4 separate regions of the Mus musculus genome follow, and regions 2, 3 and 4 are each reported to be linked to region 1. The links are microRNA targets in miRTarBase. Many come from high-throughput screens and were not tested one by one. Region 1 holds a microRNA gene; each other region holds the end of a gene's coding sequence.
What was found. Region 1 holds the annotated microRNA mmu-miR-9-5p (UCUUUGGUUAUCUAGCUGUAUGA, at 3,819-3,841, shown strand). A microRNA usually pairs through its seed, bases 2 to 8, with sites in the 3' UTR of a target mRNA and lowers its output. Matches are read on the target gene's strand: a 7mer-m8 pairs with bases 2 to 8, a 7mer-A1 pairs with bases 2 to 7 and ends in A, and an 8mer does both.

Region 2: the mRNA of Ncor2 is a reported target of mmu-miR-9-5p. Seed matches in the 3' UTR shown: 7mer-m8 at 3,700-3,706.
Region 3: the mRNA of Fads2 is a reported target of mmu-miR-9-5p. Seed matches in the 3' UTR shown: 7mer-m8 at 1,445-1,451.
Region 4: miRTarBase lists Cox6c as a target of mmu-miR-9-5p. Seed matches in the 3' UTR shown: 7mer-A1 at 3,522-3,528.

The regions. Positions count from the first base shown.
Region 1 is chr13:83,735,003-83,740,179 of GRCm38, forward strand. It overlaps Mir9-2 (microRNA 9-2), which reads left to right and starts at 3,812; the gene lies at 3,812-3,883. It overlaps C130071C03Rik (RIKEN cDNA C130071C03 gene), which reads left to right. Exons shown (of 4, transcript NR_152245.1): 4 at 3,168-5,177. Gm51268 (predicted gene, 51268) reads right to left here and starts at 3,874; the gene lies at 3,819-3,874.
Region 2 is chr5:125,014,053-125,019,052 of GRCm38, forward strand. It overlaps Ncor2 (nuclear receptor co-repressor 2), which reads right to left. Exons shown (of 47, transcript NM_011424.3): 46 at 4,759-4,938; 47 at 3,101-4,296. The coding sequence ends at 4,115. Among named protein-coding and RNA genes, the nearest start is that of Rflna, 13 kb to the left of the region's middle.
Region 3 is chr19:10,060,083-10,065,082 of GRCm38, reverse strand. It overlaps Fads2 (fatty acid desaturase 2), which reads left to right. Exons shown (of 12, transcript NM_019699.2): 11 at 272-397; 12 at 769-2,318. The coding sequence ends at 820. It also overlaps a transcript of Fads3 not described here. Among named protein-coding and RNA genes, the nearest start is that of Gm29917, 15 kb to the right of the region's middle.
Region 4 is chr15:35,930,601-35,935,600 of GRCm38, reverse strand. Cox6c (cytochrome c oxidase subunit 6C) reads left to right here. Exons shown (of 4, transcript NM_053071.2): 3 at 188-316; 4 at 3,504-3,625. The coding sequence ends at 301. Vps13b (vacuolar protein sorting 13B) reads right to left here. Exons shown (of 62, transcript NM_177151.4): 62 at 4,372-5,000. Among named protein-coding and RNA genes, the nearest start is that of Cox6c, 5.1 kb to the left of the region's middle.

The DNA of each region.
Region 1 (5,177 bases):
AGCCAGTTCACTTCATCACTTGGACCATGGACACTAATGTAAATAAAATGGCTTAAAAAATAAGACAATAGTAGTATTGACTGTAGACTACAATTTGCACATTTGTAATTCTTATAAATGAAATATTTAAAATGATTTGGTGTTGGGCCAGTTCCTTATGCATTCTGCATTCATGTGTATAGGATTCAAAGACGTTCCAAATATTGATCATAAACCAAGTGTATATGAATTAATTAAATAGCATATTTCTGGCCCAAATATGAGGAAAACCATAACTTTTTACTGTAAATCAGGAGAGATTGTTTTATCCCCAAATAAACTAGGATGTTTCAAGTCATGTTTCAGCAATTTGGAGACCTACAAACTATCTGCAAGCAAGCACAACAACCATACTCTAATCTACTAGATAGTAGTGAGAATTTAGTGCTTGAATTCAGGCTGCTTGAATTCAGTATATCCTTCTCTATGCTGATTTTCAAGTAGATATTCTGTAGCTCAGCTAGATAATCTTTTAAAAGCAAAAAAAAAATTAAGTTTAAAGTGTAGTTGCTAAGAGCTGCTCTTCACAGGTGACATCGCTAGGAGTCTTTGAAGATATGTAATTGTAACGTATTGTGGGGTATATATAATACATACAATAAACCATTTTATAAACCTTGGCAATCTTATAAATAAGGGGGCACTCGATGTTAAATCTTAGTATATTTAATTTCTTCTGTGTGCCTGTGAGGTTGATAGAGAGTTAAAATATTTAATTGACTACATTGCTAATGAACAGACTACCCATAATCCTGATCTTGGCTCATTTCACTCATTGGAGTTCCCATGATGAATACCAAGCGTGGAGACCGGCCTTGTAGTAAGTTGGCATGACTAGTGTTGCCCTAAGAATGTGGTATTTATTACAGCATCTTATTCAGATTCTAGTGGGAGAAGCGTTCAGATATGCAGTGTGTTAACTCATTGTAGATATTGTTTCTAAAAACACATTTTATTGTTAGGTATGGGAATAGAGTCATAATAACTTTCAAATTCAGAAAATATGTGAATAAATAACACCCTCCCAACACATAGATATATATATGTAGCTAGCACACCTAGATACATGTGAAGAAAAGAGATTCTATAAGACCATTTTTGATTTCTTGGGCTTTGGCTTACACAGTTGACTATATCTGATCACGTGCTTATTTTATGTAATACAAGCCAAATCATTAATTACTCTGCTGCTAGTTCTTGGAAAGCAAGGCCACGGTGCTCTTTAATCTTCCAAGCTGCAAAGCTCATTAGGATTTTTACATGATGTCAGAAGTGGCATGCGCTTCACTGAGTTGTTTATGCTGTGACCATATGGTTTAGGAATGAACAAAAACTCTATGAACATGCCTTTAGGATTGGATTGTAGTGTCCGTGTGTATTTTATTTCTGACTTCTCGTTCATAATTTGAAGAGAAATATAGACGAACTCTTTCCACATCTTAGTCTTTTCTCAATAGCCAGTTACAGAATGCTTACCATAAAAGTAAACAAATTAATATAAGGACAAATTGGCATCTCTGTTACTAAGCTGTAAGCCATATCTTAATTGGTGTGATATGTTTAAACTCTTCATTGGAGATGTTTCCTATCATTAAAACACAAACCAAACAAACAAACAAAAAAAACTTGTCAGTCTCTTCTTTACAGAGTTTAGATTTTAGGGCTCTGTATGTGATTAAATAACCAGGTTCTTATTTATGTGTTAAATGAATAAATTAGTGAATTACTGAGAAAAATTTTATTCCAAAAAAATTAATAAATCCAAAAGTATTTTAGCCACTGGGGAAAATAGACACATTATGGAATTGAGAGCATTGTGAGGCACAGGTGATGTGTGCAATGTACATTTAGAATTACTAATTCTCCTTTAGCATGTAACTTAAAGAAAAGCAACATTACTAAAAAATAATTAGTAATTTGAACAATAATCCATAATGTTTACCCACAGAGAACATGCTTCTTATGTAGATTACCATGAATATTTTGTTGAGAGGGATTTGAATGTTAGATATTAGATGTGCTAGACAGATTATCTATTATAAAGGATGAGAAAGAAAAGGATTCTTTGAAGTGATTTTAAAGTCACACTTTAAAAACTCCTAAGACAATGAATGAAGCTAATTAATTAATGAAATGACCTTCTGCTTCTCGATAGAAGGATATGAGTGGGTGGGGCCAGGGAGGTGTGGTAGCTTCCCTCCCTCCCCATCCAGGTGTTGGATCTACATGTTCAGGAGACAAGACTTTTATTTTAATTTTATAAGCAAGTCTAGTGCATTATTGTCCAGTGTGAAATTTATGTTAAAACAGTAGACAAAGGCTCAGCATTTTTGCTACAGCAGAGTTGTGTACAACATTGAAACTATTGCTGCAATGTTTACCTGTGCAGCATGCTAACCCCCACACACACTCTATATGCAAAGCATTTTTAAAAAAGAAGCCCCACTGTTTAGATCGTGCAGTTCGAACTTACAGAACAAATATGCTGCCCTATCGCCACGGTACACAGATAGAAAACATGACTGAGCTGTAAAGCCATTAAAAACATAACACCAAAGCAAATTGTCATTGTAACCATCGACTCACTGCGTAAAAACAGAGCTGATTCCCAGCCCCAGAAAGCGAGGCCCTGCTTTAAGCAATAGTAAAGTGCCTTCCATCTGCCTGCCTATGCAATCTGCCAGAAGAGAAATGCAGGCAAAGAAGTTCCCCAGACCTGAAATGCTTTTATCTATCCTTAGAGAGAGATTTTCTCCATTCTTTGGATATTAGAGCGATCTACACTAGCGCCAAGGAGGTAAAAGGCCGCGGGTTGCTTTTCAAGGAGCAGTCCGTAGTGCTAGTGGATGAAATGTTGATTGAGAATATAGGGACTGCTGCAAAGCTGCTGCTGCCGTCGCCGCCACCGCTGCCGCCGTCGCCGCCGCCGTCGCCTGTGCTACTCCTGGCAGCAGGCGTGGGGCAGTTGGGTGACCACTGATGCATATCAATAACCATGTACTTGAGATTTCTCATGACATCATCATTACCTTGGTCTCCCGCAGTCTCAAACCTTTGACCTTGCCGGGCTGGTCCACAATTTGGCGGTGAAAGCCCCTCCAATGATGGCCCTTTTCTCCTTCTTTCAGACCGGGGCAGCAGTACGCCAGCAAGAGGGCATGCTCTGCCCGCCTAGAAGTCCTAAGAAATCGAGGATCTCCCTTAAAACATTCACATACAAGATATGTGCAATCAAGCTGCCTGCACTTGGTAAAAAAGATCATGATGCCTAACCCAATGATCCGGAGCAGATCTTTGAATCAGCTGTCACTTCTATAGAATGGGATTTCCCCCTTCTTCCTCTTTAACCAGCGTTGGAAACTGCCGATGGCTTTATACATCTCAGTAGAGGAAGGCTAAAGAATCTTCCGTGAGAATGAAGCAATTTACAATGCAAATAGAGGCCTGTGAAGAGAAGGACACTGCTGCTCACCCCCAACAGCTTGCTGCACCTTAGTCTCTGGTCTTAATTTCTGATACTCATAGATGAATTGTTGGCTAACGATACTGGAGATTACTTGCTGGAAGGGGAAAAGTTTGGAATAAACTCTGAATGCAACAGATCTCATTTGGATGTTCTAGCCGCACACACTAAGACAGAAACCAGGTCATGTTTACATGAAAGGAGAAGCTTAAACGCGGCAAGTACCCCGGAGGACTACGCTTCCCTAAAGCCAAAGAGGATCGAGATCTGGAGTTCAGCCAGAGGAAGGCAGCCTTGTGAGGGAAGCGAGTTGTTATCTTTGGTTATCTAGCTGTATGAGTGTATTGGTCTTCATAAAGCTAGATAACCGAAAGTAAAAACTCCTTCAAGGTCACCGAGGAACGTTCCGGAAAGAAAGACTGCAACCAAGAGACAGTAAAAACCAGAAAGGTCAGGAATGCTTATTGAATCTAACTTTTTTTATCTTATGATTGAAAGTGGGATGCAAGAAAATTAAGTGACACGCATATTGAAATCTAAAGGGGCCAGGCTTTGAGGGGCTTGTACAACTGGAGAGGAGAATTGTGTAGTGTTTTTTACGGGTGACGATGCATGTATTTTCTATATTGTTCATTTTGAAGCAAACGTTTACATATGAGGTTTTTTTTTTCTTTTTTTTTCTTAGAAAGCTGTTATAGTGATGTCTGGTACCTCGCTTAAAAATGATTTCATAATTATGTAGATTTGGGCTGTTCCTATCTGAGGCCCCTCCCCCAAGTTTGAAGCTTGTGCCTGGAAACTTTCTATGTATTTGGGTGTGTACATCAAATTCTGTGAAGTTAGACTTTCAGTAAAGCTTATACTGGAAGGTTAATAATTTATATCTACCGAAGACTTAGAGCTAGCAGGGAAAAGGGGTGGGGGCAAAGGCTGATTTTTATTCTTCTATTCAAAATACAAGGACAGATGCTTCTCTGTTCCAAGAGGGTTTCCTTGAGGAAGCTACTGAAGCAGAAAGACATGATGGAGACGAGATCGCCTCCCCTCTTGTCAAAGTGTTAAAAAAATGTTCTGTCTTACTCTGCGCCTAGCATTGGAAATGAAAGTGACATTTACGCCACAACCCACGTGTGCGCCTCCTCTCTTTTTGTTTAAGGATGATCAGGTCTATCCAGGAAACAGCTCTGGCATCCCAAACTGAAATAATTAGGACGTATATAGACCTGACAAAAATGGAAAGGGGGTGGGGAATCTGAGGGTCTGTCTTGCCTAATTGATTCCGCTAAACGGAAAGCAGGAGATGTGAACGGCAGGACGCTCCGATTCCCACGCTCGGGGGCAAGTGGTAAAGCCTGGCCGGCAGCCTATGACAGACAGCCCTGTTGGGGGGTAGGGGTATGAAAAAAACATCAAGCACACACACACCATACTCATCTCCATCGCTTAAGAAAGTAAAGGCATTTCCCACCCACAGCCATCTGCAGCCTCCCAAATGGCAACACCAACTGGTTGGTAGCTGCTATGTACTGTCTCTGTTCATTTTTAAACCTCTGTTTAATCTGGCCATGATTAAATTTGGATTTCTCCTTTGGTTGAAATTTTCACCATTTAAGGAAAACAAGTGGAAAGGGTGCCAAGAGTGCCCCAGAACTGCATGCCCTTCTCAGAGAAGTCC
Region 2 (5,000 bases), not on the chromosome of region 1:
GTCCCCACCCTGGCTTTCAAGAGTCTAGCACAAGCTGTGTCCCCACAACCTGTCTTTTGAAGGCTGCCACTTCTAGGAAGTCCTCCTTGACTGACATGGTCTGTGTTGTTTCCGAATCAAGCCTAGGTAGGGGATCAGTGTGTATCTGATCGGTGGGCAGAGCTCTCCTAGGGGGGAGGGGTCTCCTAGGGGGGAGGGGTATGTGGCTTGATGCAGGACTAGCTCTCTCTGTATTAAGAGACCAAGAGGAACGAGCTTGGGTGTTCTTAGAGAAGGGTGGACCACGGCTGGACGTTGCAGTGTAGCCAGGTGTCTTCCTGGGAGGCAAGGGTGAGAGAAGTCACATGTGCCTCCATTTTAAAGGTGGAGCGAGGACAGGCTGGTTACAGCTAGGGGACAGAAGAAACCCTCCAAAGGTACAAGCTCTGTCTCCACATCTCTGTCATGGTCTAGGCCTCAGGAAGTATCAAGGGAGACATGGGTTTCATATCTGAGAGGTAGAGATGCGGCTGGAGGAGACAATGGGGTAGCTCAAACCAGCTCCTGTCTGGTGGCAGCCGAGGGTCACCACACCGTGAACCGGTGTAGCAAAGCAACCTGACCGTCCAGGTGGAGCTGGCTGTGTCCAAGATGAGGCCCACAGCACCCCCTGGCTGCTAGCTTTTGTATTGCAGTCTGGATGAAGGTCGAGCCCCTCCAAGCCAGCCTGGTACAGACCTGCCTGGTGGTCTCCAGGTTTCAGCTCATGTCTGCTCCTGACAGTTCACAGGACAGACTCGGGGCAGCTTGGGACTCCCTGGAGGATGCAAATGTCTCTCCACACTCTAGCTCAGATATTTCAGGCGGCTGGGGAGGTTGTTCTTGGGAGATACATACCTCCACCAGAGCCTTCATGATCAGACTCCTGCCTATGGCTGCTTCAGATCTCCTTTCCTTTATCAGACCCAGCAGCCACCTCCCAGCAGAGCCAAGGTGGGTTTCATTCCAGAGACTTGGGACCCTCTGCCATGGCATCCCTCCCTGGCTGCCCAGGCTAGGAGCTAAGGATGAGTGCAAGGCAGGAACCTTGGCAGAAAGAGTATGACTGCCAGATGAAGACTCTGGTACGGGCCTGCCTGGTTGCTTCCCACACCCCTCTCTTTGAATGGCTGGCCTCTGAGGGCACTAAACCAGCCACCTGGCAGCGGGGTAAGGCCAAGTGAGTTCAGCCCAGGCCTTTGTGGACCAACTGTCAAACCAGCTCTGGAGCCAGGTGGCAGACTGGGGACAGCAGGCTGGGGTGTCACAACATGTACAGATGGGTATGGATGGATGTAGAGGGGCCCCAGGCCCCAGGATGGAGCAGATCAACTGACTCAGTGCAAAGACTGGAAGCCCTCTCAGCCCTGCTTCGAGAGTTGGTTTAAATGTCACCCTGTCACAAATGAGGTAAGGGAGCCTCACCTGAAGAGCTGTCCCAACGGTTTTGATGTGGGAAGGCACACCTGGATTGTGGGCAGCACCTTCAGGCAGCAGCCAGGTACAAAAGGAACTGCCAGGAAGGCGATCACCTCGCCCTTCACTCAGAGCGGCTCTGCCTCATTGATAGCACTGCTAACCCCATGGCTGACGGTACAGCCAGGCTAAGCTTTCCTGGCGGCCTGGGGACCAGCGGCTCTCTAGAAACCTTCTGAGCTTCCAGGTGCCAGATTGGCACTCTTACTCAGTGACTTAAGGGTCATCGCCTTGCAGTGAGAGGCAAGCTGTTCTGGGACAACTCTGAGGCACTCAGGTCCAAGGACCACACAAACTGTTCTCAGCATCGTGGGTGGGGCTTGGCTGTGTTACTATTTTAAAGCTCACTCAAGGAGCTGGAGAGATGTGTTCGGGGGTGCCCTTCCAGAAGACCCAGGGTTCAGTTCCTGGCACCCACATTGGTGGCTCACGAGCACCTGTCTCTAGTCTGAGCTCTGCAGATACCAGGCAAGCACTGTGGTGCAGATATACACAAAGACCAAACATTATAACACATGTGAAATATAAATAAAACAAATATTTTAAAAAGCTTATTCTTAATAAATTCTGCTATACACATATGTATATACACATACATACACGTATGTATATGTTTGTATATATACAAATACACATATATACACATACGTATATATACACATATACACACGTATGTATGTGTAACACACAAATTCCTGAGCAATGGTTCTCAACCTGTGGGTTGCAACCCCTTAGAGGCAGCCCTTTCATAGGGGTGACATATATCAACTATCCTGCATATCAGATATTTATGCTATGATTCACAACAGTAGCAAAACCAGTTATGAAGTAGCAATGAAATCTATGGTCAGGGGGTCACCACAACGCGAGGAACTGTATTCAAGGGTCACAGGAACAGAAAGGTTGAGAGCCACTGCTCTAGAGAACCCTGATTACAACAGGCACCAAGGTGGCAGCAGGGCTCTGTTGGAGTTTCTTAGATCAAACCCAAAGAGGTAGGTGTGGCCATTTCGGTCAGGTTCAAGAATACTTACCGCTGACACAACAGGCAGGATCAAAACAGTGCAGAGCAAGAAGCAAGAGTCCCCAGGACACCCTCACTGTGGGGGGGAAGGGCACACTGTGGGTGTGACTGGCGGAAATTTACACCCACAAGAAAGAACAGGAGAGGCTAAGCCACAGGCAGGGACCCCAATGCCTACTACGAGACAGTAATCTTCACCCCGTAAGTACCACACACTGTCACCGTGAAGAATGCAATGACTACTCTCCTGTGACAAGGGTGAATGCCCAGGACCCTTTTCCACGGGTATGAACACCTCCACATAGTCACCGTATAATACAGGTACTGGCTGGCTTCCCCAACAAGTGTGAACACCCCTGTACGATGACCACTGGTGTGAATGACCAATGGGTCCCCCACCGGTGTGAACATCCAGCAAGGTATCGACGACACAAGTACCTGGTGGCTTCCTCATACGTGTGCATGCAGGATGCCCTCTGGTGGCACTGTACTTAGGGGTCAATGTTCACTGCTCAGTGCTGACTTTAAGGAACACTCCCCTTGACTCCTGTGGCTGCCTGCTGCCCAGTGAGAAGCAGAGTAGAAACGTTGTCACTTGAGTATATTTGCTTTCTAATTGGAACAACATGTGTAAATGACAGAATGCCGCCGTGCACAGAGAGCGGCCACAGAATACGCATCAAGTCCATTTTGCCCAAGGAAGGGGGTGGGGGGGAAGGGCACAGTGCCGTGTGCCGGAGCCCCTGACCCCCAAGTCCTGCGTATGGTGGGGCCACCGCCTTGGCTGGCACGTGCCTCTGAAACAGTAGGTAGAGACCAAAGCACAGCGGCAGAAACACGGGCGAGTCCTTCCTTGTGTGAGACGTCTGAATTAACTCATTGAAGGTATCAAAAATATACCCTGTAAGCCAACACCATTTACACGTGCCTTCCCTCCCGTTGCCACAGCAACAGGCCGGGAAACGGTCCAGTTCCTGCAAGCATCCGTGCCCCAGGCCAGGCCTGGCCCCTTGTGCACCCACCTGGTCTGATGGGCTCCCAGTCTTGTGGGCTGGGTGGCCTTTGGAGACTGCGATGATGACAGCATTAGGGCAGGATAAGCTGGGAACGTCTGTCTGTCCAGAGCGCAAGCGGGCTGGGGGCAGAGGGAGGGGCAGGACCACGCGAGAGTTCAGCTTAGACTTTGGTTCCAAATGCGGTAAGGGGCGAGGCGGTGGCATGGAGGTGCCTGGTCAGCCTGTGGTGGGTCCCCGCTGCCCCAGATGCACGAGTGCGACTGACACACGATTGCTGTCCCCCCCCCTCCTGGCCCGCTGTCCCTCCCCTCCTGTCCACTCCCCTCTCGAGCACCAGGTAAACATCCCCTGAGTGTAAGGTCACTGCGCAGGGCCAGCCCGGGGTGGGAGTCTTAGTTAAGGCTTTAGACAGGCAGGATGCCAGCTCTGGATGGACAGATGAGTGGACGGACGGACGGATGGACGCGCAGGCAGACTCAGGGGCTCCTTCCTCAGTCTCGGGAGTCAGCAGCTGTCTGCTCCATGCTGGGCTGCTTCTGCCTTGTGCGGGGACCTGGCACCGCTCCCCCCCAATCCGTGGTCACTCGCTGTCCGAGAGTGTCTCATACTGTGAACACAGCAGTGGCTTGGGCTCCTCATCCCAGGCGTGGTGGGGACCAGCTAGGGGCCCGCTGCCTGCCGCAAGGCCAGGTGGGGGCGGGGAGGCCATGACACCTGCCTGTAGCCTCATAATCAAAGGGTTGTAGGGGAATGGCGTGGACCCTGCGAGAAAGATGGGAGAGTGCTGCAGGAGGCTCTGCAAGCCGCTACACGTAGGCACCTCAGGACCCGTCTTCCATATAAGAAACCAGAGCCTGGGTCTCTTGGGCCAGGACCTCTAACTCTGGAGTTTCTCAAAACCGGCCTCCTCCCTTTGCCTCTGTGCTCGACAGCCCTACCACCGTTTGACTGGACTCCAGTAAAACCTTTCCGCTCTCCCTCTGTCCTGTCTTCTACTGCCTTTACTGTCCTGTCAAAATCCTACAGTGCCTGACAGGCAAGAAAGGCTGCCAGCCTCCCCTGTATGACGAGCCATGCCTGGAAGGTCTGGCCAGCTACACAGGACCCTCTGATAGGTTTCTTCCTATATCCTCCTTGCTAAGTGGTGATCAGGGACCTTCTTTCTTGGGTAGCCCAGGTAACCCCCAACCCCTGGATACATCTCTACTCCTAGCTGATACCCACCTGCAGATGAGGGCCGGTCCTCCCACACACGGTTGGTGAGTGGTGTTCGGCGATTGCAGTCCCCCTCTGAGTGTACTGAGGAGACAGAAGGGGGTCGGTCTCCGGACGCTAGGCCTGGTGCTGGCGACTTGGCTTTTCGGCTGCTAGGTCTGCCAGAGACCTTGGCTTTCCCACCTCCACCTGCAGGGGACAAAGTGGGAAGGGGCCAAGTCAGACGGGGTTGACAGTAGGACACCCACACC
Region 3 (5,000 bases), not on the chromosome of region 1:
AGGCCAGGGGCGTGAGCCCTGATACCCTTTTTCTTTTTGTTTTTTAACATAAGACTCTTGTGTTTGGCTGTTCAATTCGGCTTTCTGCAGTGCCCCTGTTCATAAATTGCCCCTCTACACACCACCAGTAACATCTTCAGGCAGTTGGCAGGAGCCACAGTCTAGTCCTGGTTTAAGATAGGACCTCAGCCCTGCCTGCCTCCCTGGGTTGGAGAGGAGGTGGAGAACATGGGTCTTGGGTTGCACTCACTCTGCCCACCTGCTCCCCCAGCCTCTTCCCCACTATGCCACGTCACAACCTGCACAAGATTGCCCCACTGGTGAAGTCTCTCTGCGCCAAGCATGGCATTGAATACCAGGAGAAGCCGTTGCTGAGGGCCCTGATCGACATTGTGAGGTGAGGGGTGAGCTCCACAAGGGCTGAAGCTCTGGAGCACTGGAAGGGGCCAGAGATGAGGTGGGGCTGAGGAGGTGAGAGGCACATGGCTGGCCTTACTCACAGTAGGGACTCTAGCTCACAGTGGGGATTCCTGTCTACCCAGGGCTAGAAGAGGACCTCCCCTCTCTCCTTTCCCAGGGGTTTCTCTGGGGTGTATTAGTCAGTAGCCCACAGCTCCTGTGGTATCCTGTGGTAAGTGGTGAGCCCTAGTCAGTAGCTGAGAGGAAGCACCTGCCGCCCCAACATGACTTCCCACAAGTCTCACTGCCTGGAGGCCGAGGTTCCTTCCATCTGGTTCCTGAGCCCTGCCCCCCTCTCTCTATTTGCAGTTCACTGAAGAAGTCTGGGGAGCTGTGGCTGGATGCTTACCTCCATAAATGAAGCTGCCGTCCTCCGGGCACCCTCGGGAAAGGGGCACTGTTGGGTGACAGCCAGAGGGAGGGGAGGGCTTTTGTTCTGAAGGGTTCTCATGAGACTGAAGTGTCTGCTGCCTCACATTCCCCGGGCTTGCATCCTTTCTTGTTATTCCTCTTCCCTCACCCCTACCTACTCCATTCTCATGGAGTTCCCCCTTTGTCAGCCCTGACCCCATCCCCTCTGCCTCCCAGTCCCTTCTCCCAGAGAGCCGGAGAGGTGGTTGTCTCAGGTGGTTACGCGTCTGCCTTTAACTTCTGCACCTAAAGATTCCTGGTATGAGATTCTGCTCCTGGCAGCCTAGTCCCCACCCCCTTCTGTCCCACAGACACTCTGGGGGCCTGTGGAACAGGAGTCCAGGACTTGGCTCTACACTCCCTGTCAGCATTATGGTGTAGTCATTTGGGTGAAGACATGCTTCGTTCTGAGTGTCTTTCCCATGGCTGGGATTGGTACTTGAGGCTTCTTTCCAGCTGCCAAGGACCACCTTAGACTTTGAGGACCAAGGAAAAGTTCTCTCATGCCCACCATCACAACTCCAGACCATAGGGTTTGTACAGGTTCTATTTCATCATCTACCCAACTCCAGAAACCAAAGGGAGTGTTCCTTGTGCGGGCTCAGGAGAGGCAGTAGCCAGGTTGAAGGAGGGACTGACCAGCCTGGAACTTTAACCTCTCCCACTACAGTCAGGTGCTTCTGAGTTAAAAGGCCCAAGATTCTAGAAGGATCAGATCTTTTTCCAGATCCTCTGGCCAGTTCCAGATGCTTGGTCTAGAGAATGTGGACCTTGCAGGAGAGCCCCTGAGCAGCTCTCCCCAGGATAGAGCTGCCAATCTAGCCAGCACTTGGCTTCTTTTTGGCTCATCCCTGTCTTTACAGATGTTTGTTTGCTTGTTTGTTTTAGCTGTTGTGTTAACATTTCCTACAGAATTCTTCTTAATAGGAGAGTAGCAGAGGGCTGGCTGGGTCTTAGGACAATCCATCTTTACTAGATGTCCCTTGCCCTTCAGGTAGAGCTAGGCTTCGCCTTCAAGGCCACAGTATACGCTGTGGCTTGAGGTTGCTGCTATCAGAAAGGCAGGAAAAACAGGGTAGGGTGTGAGGTCTCAGGAGGGCTGTTGGGGGTACCCAGTGAGGCTCAAGCAGGAGTGTAGAGGGAAGAGGAGGCTGAGGGCATGAGGGAAATGTGAGGGCAGGTGGGAGGGGGGACGTCGGCTATAGCAGGAGGGGACCCACGCTATGTCATTCTGAGGTCTAACTGGACTAACCAACCAATATGTAAACTGGAGGAAAAGGCTGGGCCTGCACAGGGCAAGCCCTCTAGGACTCCATGAGCCAAGAGAGACCAGTTGGTATTGTTCCACAGAGGCAGAGAACCCATAGGAGATGGCAGTCATTTGTATCATCTTGTTCCCCGCCTCTACTTTTTTGGGAAATAAAAAAAAAAAAGTAATTTTATTCTCACTTGCCTGTAGTTCAGCAAGATCAATGGATGGCTAGTGTTCCTGTATGCTGATGTCACAGGTGTGGTAATGCAGGGTCTGGGAGGAAGGGCGGTGCTGCCCCACAAGAGCAGGGCCTGACTGTTAAGGCGAGTGGTGAACAGAACCCTCCCTGGTCCTCTCTCTAAGAGGACGGTGACGGGTCTGGAGACTGAGGCTTTTATTTTGTGTTGCTGTGCCCATGTGGAGTCTCTACAGCCTAGGGAAGGTCTATATCGTTCCAGCCCTGGTTACAGTTCCTACGCCCTGGTCTGACCTCCAGCCTGGGAAGCCAGAGTCATCTGCACCTGAGGTACCTGCCCAATTCACCTTGCAATTGGACCCATGCTGCATCCATCTCGGAACAGGCTCAAAGGGCCATGTCACTCCAGAGGTGTCAGAAGAGCCATCAGGCATGGGGTGGCCAATACTCCCGAGGTTTCTGTTGGCCTTGTAGCTGCTCCCAGCAAGGTTGGGGAGTGCTCCAGCAAAGATCTCATCTCCATAGGTGACCAGAACCTATCCATATAAGTATGGAGGGATAGTAGGAAGTCTGTGGGGGGTGATTCCCAGTGACCACACTGTAACTAGTACAAGGCTTGGGATGGCAGACATTGTCACTGATCCTCTGAGTGGCCCTGCGTGAGTCTTCCTCCACCTCATCTCCAGGGTACTCACTGCCACAGTTTCCTCCTTGAGGAAAAGAAATCATGGGATAGAATGCCTCCAAGGCTGATTTCTGTCAGTCTCCAAGAGCCTTGGCTTCACCTGACTGATAAGCCCCCTGGAGACTTTGGTGATGGCAGACTTGTTTGAACACACCTTCAGAACTTACCTATGTTTGTCTTCCACTTGCTGCTTGGGCAGGACCTGGCCCCCCAATACCCAGAATGCCTCAGGCCAAACCCTGCCAACTGTGAATGTGGGGTCTATGGCAGCTGACACCCAGAGATCTGGGGAGTGGGAGGGTGACTGAAGGGAACCCGGCAGGGATAGGTGTCTCAGATGTGAAGGTAAATTTAGGCTCACATCCATGAGCTTGTGTTTTCTCATATACACTCCTAGCTTCTGCCTTGAGCGCTACCTAAGGTCCAGAGCAGAAGACATACATCCCTGCTCTCTACATGAATAGCTCCTCTCTTGTTACAGTGCTCAACTGAGGCTATTGGCCAATATCCCCAAAGTTGTGGGGTGGGTTCTGTCCCCTAACAAGTCATGGACTTCTCTAATATTTAAAAGCCCAGCCTAATGAAACCCTAACATCTCACAGGCCAAGAAGCTGACACCAGAGAGGGGAAGATACTCACCCTGAGGCAGCACAGTGTCAGCAGAAGAATCAGAGCATACATGGGGAATACCAGTTGGCTGGGCCATCTCTTCCCCTTTACCCCATCATACCAAATGTCATATTGTACGGGAGGCTGGCCCCAGGGGTAGAGGCAGGCAGTGGGGCAGTTAGTTCAGGTGAAAGAGATGATCAGGAATGAGGTGCTATTGAAAACAAAACCCCTACTATCTTTGAGGTAGTATGAGCTTATGCCAGACAGCAGACTCAGAGGCTTCTCTGGGGCTGTTGGAGCAGCCTGAACATCTGTGCGTGTCTATCTGTGTGTATAACTGGAAGCCCAGAGGTTTCTGTACGTGTCTGTCTGTGTGTATAGCTGGAGGAGCCCTCGGGGCCACTGGGAGGGAGGAGAAGGCCTCAGGCAAGAAGGTCATGGAACAGAAGGAGATTACAGCCACTTGGGAAACCATACCTTGGGCCTCTTGCGGCTCAGCTGGCTTGGAAAGTACTGTTCAGAGGACAGCTGCTGCTGTGAGATAGATCACACAGCAGTGGGTCCCAGCAGGTCATCTGGTGACCTGCGAATGGGCTGGAGGAAAAGACTTGCTGTACGATCTGGACACTGGTGTTCTTTTGACTGACAGGACTGCGCATTTCTAGGCAGACTGGGTTCACAGATAAATGAAACATAAAATTGCCCAGTGTCTCAGGACTTCACAGTGGCTCCACTGCCTCCTGCCAGAATCAAGCCTTTTTCTTTTTTTCTTTCTTTTTTTTGGGGGTGGGGGGGTGGGGGTGGGGTGGGGACTTGGAAGGCACTTAATTGGGTTTTGCTTCAAACCATTTGGTTCAAGAGCTAATAATGCCTAAAGGGAGCTAGTAACAGGAAACAGGGCTTGGAAAGTACTGGTGTCTTTAAGAACACAGTATGTTTTAAGGACAAAGTATGTTTACACATCGTTCTTTCGCAAGGCCTTTATCTCCCCACCGCCAGCCGCACCCACAAAGGCAGAGGCTGGTTCGTGGGAGCTGGCCACTGGAGTCTCTTAGCTATTGGTTGACCGAAAGGACAAACAAGCCGTGACTTCCCTCTGGAACCTTTCTTTCTGGATTCAGGACTGTTGGACAGAAAATAGAAAGGGAGACAGTGGGGTCTTTCAAAGGTACTACCATGGCCTTTTCCTGTCCTCTTGATAAGTGTGGTCTGTGATCTCTACAGGAAGACGGACTCAGGTGAGTGGAGGTGACCCACTGCCAGGAGCTATAGCATAGATGACAGGGGAAGGTGGGACAAAAATGACCTATCAGTAATGGGCTCTGGGTAGAAGGAAGAGACCTAAAGGCAGGGGTCTCTGCAGGGTATTTTATTGGATAACTCTG
Region 4 (5,000 bases), not on the chromosome of region 1:
GTAGTAGGGAGCTTTTTGCTGTATAGTTGCCACAAGACTCTTCCTTTCATGGTGTCCCCCCTCCTTGTCTAGGAAATAAGAGGGCTCAGTAAAGACTGAGTACAAGTATCTTCTTAGTTTATTTTGTTTTTATGCATTTCTAATAATCTGAAAAGAAAGTTCTGTAACGGGCTATGCTACCTTTTAGTTTGGCGTGGCTGAGCCAAGAAAGAAGGCGTATGCAGAATTCTACAGAAATTATGATTCCATGAAAGATTTCGAAGAGATGAGGAAGGCTGGTATCTTTCAGAGTGCCAAGTGATTTCAGAATGCAAAGGTAATTACAGTTACTTTTTAGTTGTGTCTAAGAAATGTTTAACTAGTGAATTATCTTAACTGTACAGTTCTTATAAAACTGCTACTGTCTAGGAAAGAGCCGCCATGCTTTTCTTCCAGACTGACAAGTAGTTCTTTTTATGAATTAAACTACATTATTTGCTTTTCTTCTTCCCCTTTTTCTCCTTCTATGCATGGGATACATGTCAGAAAAACTTTGGAATTGCTTTTCTTTCCACCCATTATATGGGTTTGTTCCAGGGAACAAACTTGGGTTGGCAGATTAAGGCGGTGAGTGCTTTTACCCATCTAGTCGCCTTGCTGGCCCTTTGTCAGTTATTTCAGTTAGTACAGTGTTTTACTGTTGAGGCCGGCCAGCGGCTCACATGTCCGGGTTCGAGCCTGGAAAGCATCTTGAAATCTGGAAGAAAAGAGGGAATGTAGGCGGCTTGATGGAGCTAAGTCAAGAGATTCTGATCAATTTTAATATTCAGAAACTGAGGTTATAAGGAAGGGGGAGGGGCCCATTCCCGCCAAATCATCTTCAGAGTCCAGCTGTAGGTGACCACGTGTGTACTCTGGAACAGCTAGGTGGCGGTAGTAGCAGTGGGAGTGGCAGAAGGATAGGGTGGCAGGCTCCACCCCCGATGATCTCCTGGTGATAGCAGTCAACTGCTCAGCCTGTTTAAGGGCTGGGTGGGGGTACATTTTACATGTCAGTAATTCCCTCCTTTTTTTAAGGCTGAAAATACTCCATTGTATGTTGTTTCTGGGAATTGAACCTGGAGTATTGTGCATACTTGGAAAGCATTCTACAATCGACTACATCTTATTCTATATACATACATACATGTACTCATATATATGTGTATATACATGTATATATATGTGTGTGTGTGTGTGTGTAGATTTTTTTATCTTTGTTTTTTCCCTTTTAGTGGATATTTTATTTATTTACATTTCAAATGTTATCCCCTTTCCAGGTCTCCCATCTGGAAACCTCCTATCCCATCCTTTTCCCCCTGCCCCTGTGAGGGTGCTTTCCCCGACACTCACTCCCAGTGTATGTGTGTTTTTTGGTAGTGGGTTGAGATACTTTATGGTGGTTTTGATTTGCGCTTCCTAGTGATTTGTAGCTTCGAGTGTTGCATGTACTTATTGGCCACTTTGTATATTCTTTGGGTATACTGGGGATTTTCCCCTTTCATATGTATGTAGGGTGTGCGTGCGTAAGTCCAAGGTTAATATTAAGAGTACTTTCCTTTAGTATTTTCTATAGTATTGAGGCAGGATCTCAGTTGAATCCAGAGCCCTCTCATGAGGCTAGGCTGGCTAACCAGGTTACTCTTGCAATTGCAGATGAACCACCATGTCTGTCAGGCATTTATATAAATTTTGGGGATCCAAACTCTGGATTTTATTGTTATTTTTGTGCTTTAGCCACTTGGCCAGCTCTCCATCCTGGGGATTCTTTTATTCAACTCTGCTGACTATTTTTTAAATTTTACTTTAGATGAGTTGTTCCCTTATATTTCTGTCAAACAGGCCATCCCAGAATCACTGCCAAATCCAGTATCTTAAACACTTTCTTTCAAGAGTCTTAATGCTTTTTATGTCTTTGAGTCTTTCTTTTTTGCTGGTGCTGGGGATTGTATGAAGTGTATGCTTTAATTTAGCTGCACCTCTTTAGTCAGTGTTTTTCAACCTTGTGGGTCATGACCCTTTTAGGGGTTTCATATCAGATGAACCTACATACCAGGTATTTACAATTCACAACAGCAGCCAAATTATGGTTAGGAAGAAGCAATGAAAGTAGTGTTATGGTTGGGAGTCATTACAGTAGATGGAATTGTATTGAAGGGTCGTCATTAGGAAGGTTGAGCACCACTGCTCTAAAAGTCCTCCGTATTAAGATAATTTTTGTTTATGGTGTAATGGCAAGATCCAGCTTCATTCTTTAGTATACAGATAATATGTTGTCCCAAAAATATTTTTTAAAAATTGTCCTTCCCCTTTGAATGAAGGACCCTCAGATTTTTTGTTGTTGTTGTTGTTGTTGTTGTTGTTGCTTCTTGCATTAGTCTATTGAGGTAGTCTTTTGCTAACAAGAAGCTGTTTCATCTTGACTAGTTGGTTGGCCAGTGAGCTCCTAAGATTCTCCTGGTTCTGGTCCCCCAATGCTGGTGTTTTAATGCACTGTCATGCCTGACTTTATGTGGGAGCTGGGGATTTGAACTAGGATCCTTGTATAGCAAGCATCCATATTCTGAACCATCACTCAAGCCTGGTTTGTTTATCAGGGCAGTACCACAGAGGTTTCATTATATATGAGTCTTCCACCCCAACCCCCTCAGTTGAGATATTTGAGCTCCTTTGAGAATCTCTGAATTTTAGAGTGGGTTTTCTTTTTCTTTTTTTTTTGTTTTTTGTTTTTCGAGACAGGGTTTCTCTGTGTAGCCCTGGCTGTCCTGGAGCTCACTCTGTAGACCAGGCTGGCCTCGAACTCAGAAATCCGCCTGTCTCTGCCTCCCGAGTGCTGGGATTAGAGGCGTGCGCCACCACGCCCAGCGGGTTTTCTTTTTCTACAAAAAATGGTTGGGTTTTTTATAAAGATTCCATTAATCTGTAGATTGCTCTGGAGTGTATAGACATCTTACTATTGCAATATTGCAGTCTTCCAGCAGCACTTTATATCTTTGCTCAGTATTCTATTCATAAGTGTTCTATTAGTTTCAAAGTAATTATAAATAGAATTGTTTTATTTTTACTTTAGTGTATTACAATTTTATGCCCTATAACTTTGTAAAACTCATTCTAACCTTTCTGTTTCTGTGTGTATTATTAGAATTTTCTACATTATAAAATATTACCTACAGATTTTACTTCCTTTGGGTGTATTTTCTTTTTCTCAACTGATTTTTCTGATTAGGACTTTAATACTATGTTGGCAAGAATTGGCATTTTTTTTTTTTTTTTTTTTTTTTTTTTTTTTTTTTTTGCTGATTCTAAAGGAAAAGCTTTCAGTTTTTCATCAAGTGCAGGTTAGTAATAGATTCATCCGCAGTTGACTATATTGAGATGTAGTTTTTACATTTTAGAAAGTTTACAGTCTAGTAGGACTAGACTTTATGGATGGTAGTAATAAAGATTGTTTATCATTCACAAAGCTATTGTGTTTCTCTCCATAGAATTCTTTGGATTGCGCTCCAAAGAAGTTCATTGCTGACCTGCGCTCCTGAACTATGAAACATGAATATGTGTGGGCTAAGGAATAGTTTCTTTCAATAAACAGTAATTATATGGACAGTAAGTCTTTGCTTGGTTATTAATGATAATTCAGAGCCTTTAATACCTGACGCCTAATGTTCTTATAATTCTAGATAAATATTATAAAGACAACTCCTATAATTATCTGGTCCTGGCTTTGGTGTCCTGGAGTACCTATGAGCATCTGTACTTCTGGTCTTGATGTTCCAATCCTATCATTAAAATCAGCCTTTGCAGGAGGCAGAGGTAGATATGTTACTGAACCTTGAGCTGGAGGCCAGTAGAGTGAGTTTCAGGGCAGCCTGGAATACATGGTTAGATGCCAACTCATTATTTTTGGTTGTGAGCTTAGCCTTTAATGGCTGAGCTATCACTCCAGCCCAAGAGATGCCATTCTATAAAAATCTGTCCTTAGATTTCACTGCCAGTCTTTGGTATTGCTGTTGTCACCAGAAAGAAAGTTAATTGACGTACTATTAGAAAAATTATTTTTATTAATGAGCCAACAATATGTATAATGAATGTGAATATGTGTCTAATCCAGAAAAACACTTAACTAGTATTGAGGAATGTCTGATAGTCACTTAAAGTCTGAATGTAGATTTTGTGGCAGGGCCGTGTGCATCCTGGTTAAGAGTTCTAGGACTGCTGTATCCAGTGGACAGAATGAAAATGCAAATTTGGTCAGTAGTTCTGTTTAACTTGTTTAAGAAAGACTCAGTGAGTGAATTCTATTAAAATGGGGTATCCATGAAAACCTGCACAGAAAAAACTCACAGCACACCTTTATCCACGGTCAGTGATTCAGGAATACCTTTTATTATGTATATAATAATTTCCAGCAGTATGTAAAATTACCATAAGCCATACAAGAATCAGTACATATTTACATTCTTAAAAATAACTGTTCTTGAGTTTGACAAAGATGTTCTTTTCCTAAATGTGTAATAGACCAATTGCAGAGATGATCTTCATATTTGGTTTGAATTGTTCACCAAGGACTTGTTTTCCAGGACTAGTGCTGTAGTAGGGATGTGTGCTCAGCAGACTGAGGTTGTAGGTCAGTGTCCTTTGAAATCAGTGGCCCTGTCTTACTGCCACATTTCAGTTGAAGGGAAGGAACAGATTGCAGGCCTGTGCATGAATACCATCAGTGGGTAATGAGACCCTGAGAGTCACTAACTCCTGAAGGTAGTGGTGATGCCAGGTCATGCATCAAAGCCCTCCCTAGATGTTAAATAATACTTAACAGATACTAGGGATAGCTCCAGACTTTATCAAATCAATTCAACAGAGCAACTATCTGGACTGAAGTCACTGTCAGCCTTAAGGCTGGAGTCTTTAACTCATCCGCAAACAAACTTATAACCAATATGTTCTGTTCTTGTCGGTAGACACAAAGTGTTACTTTAGCTTAG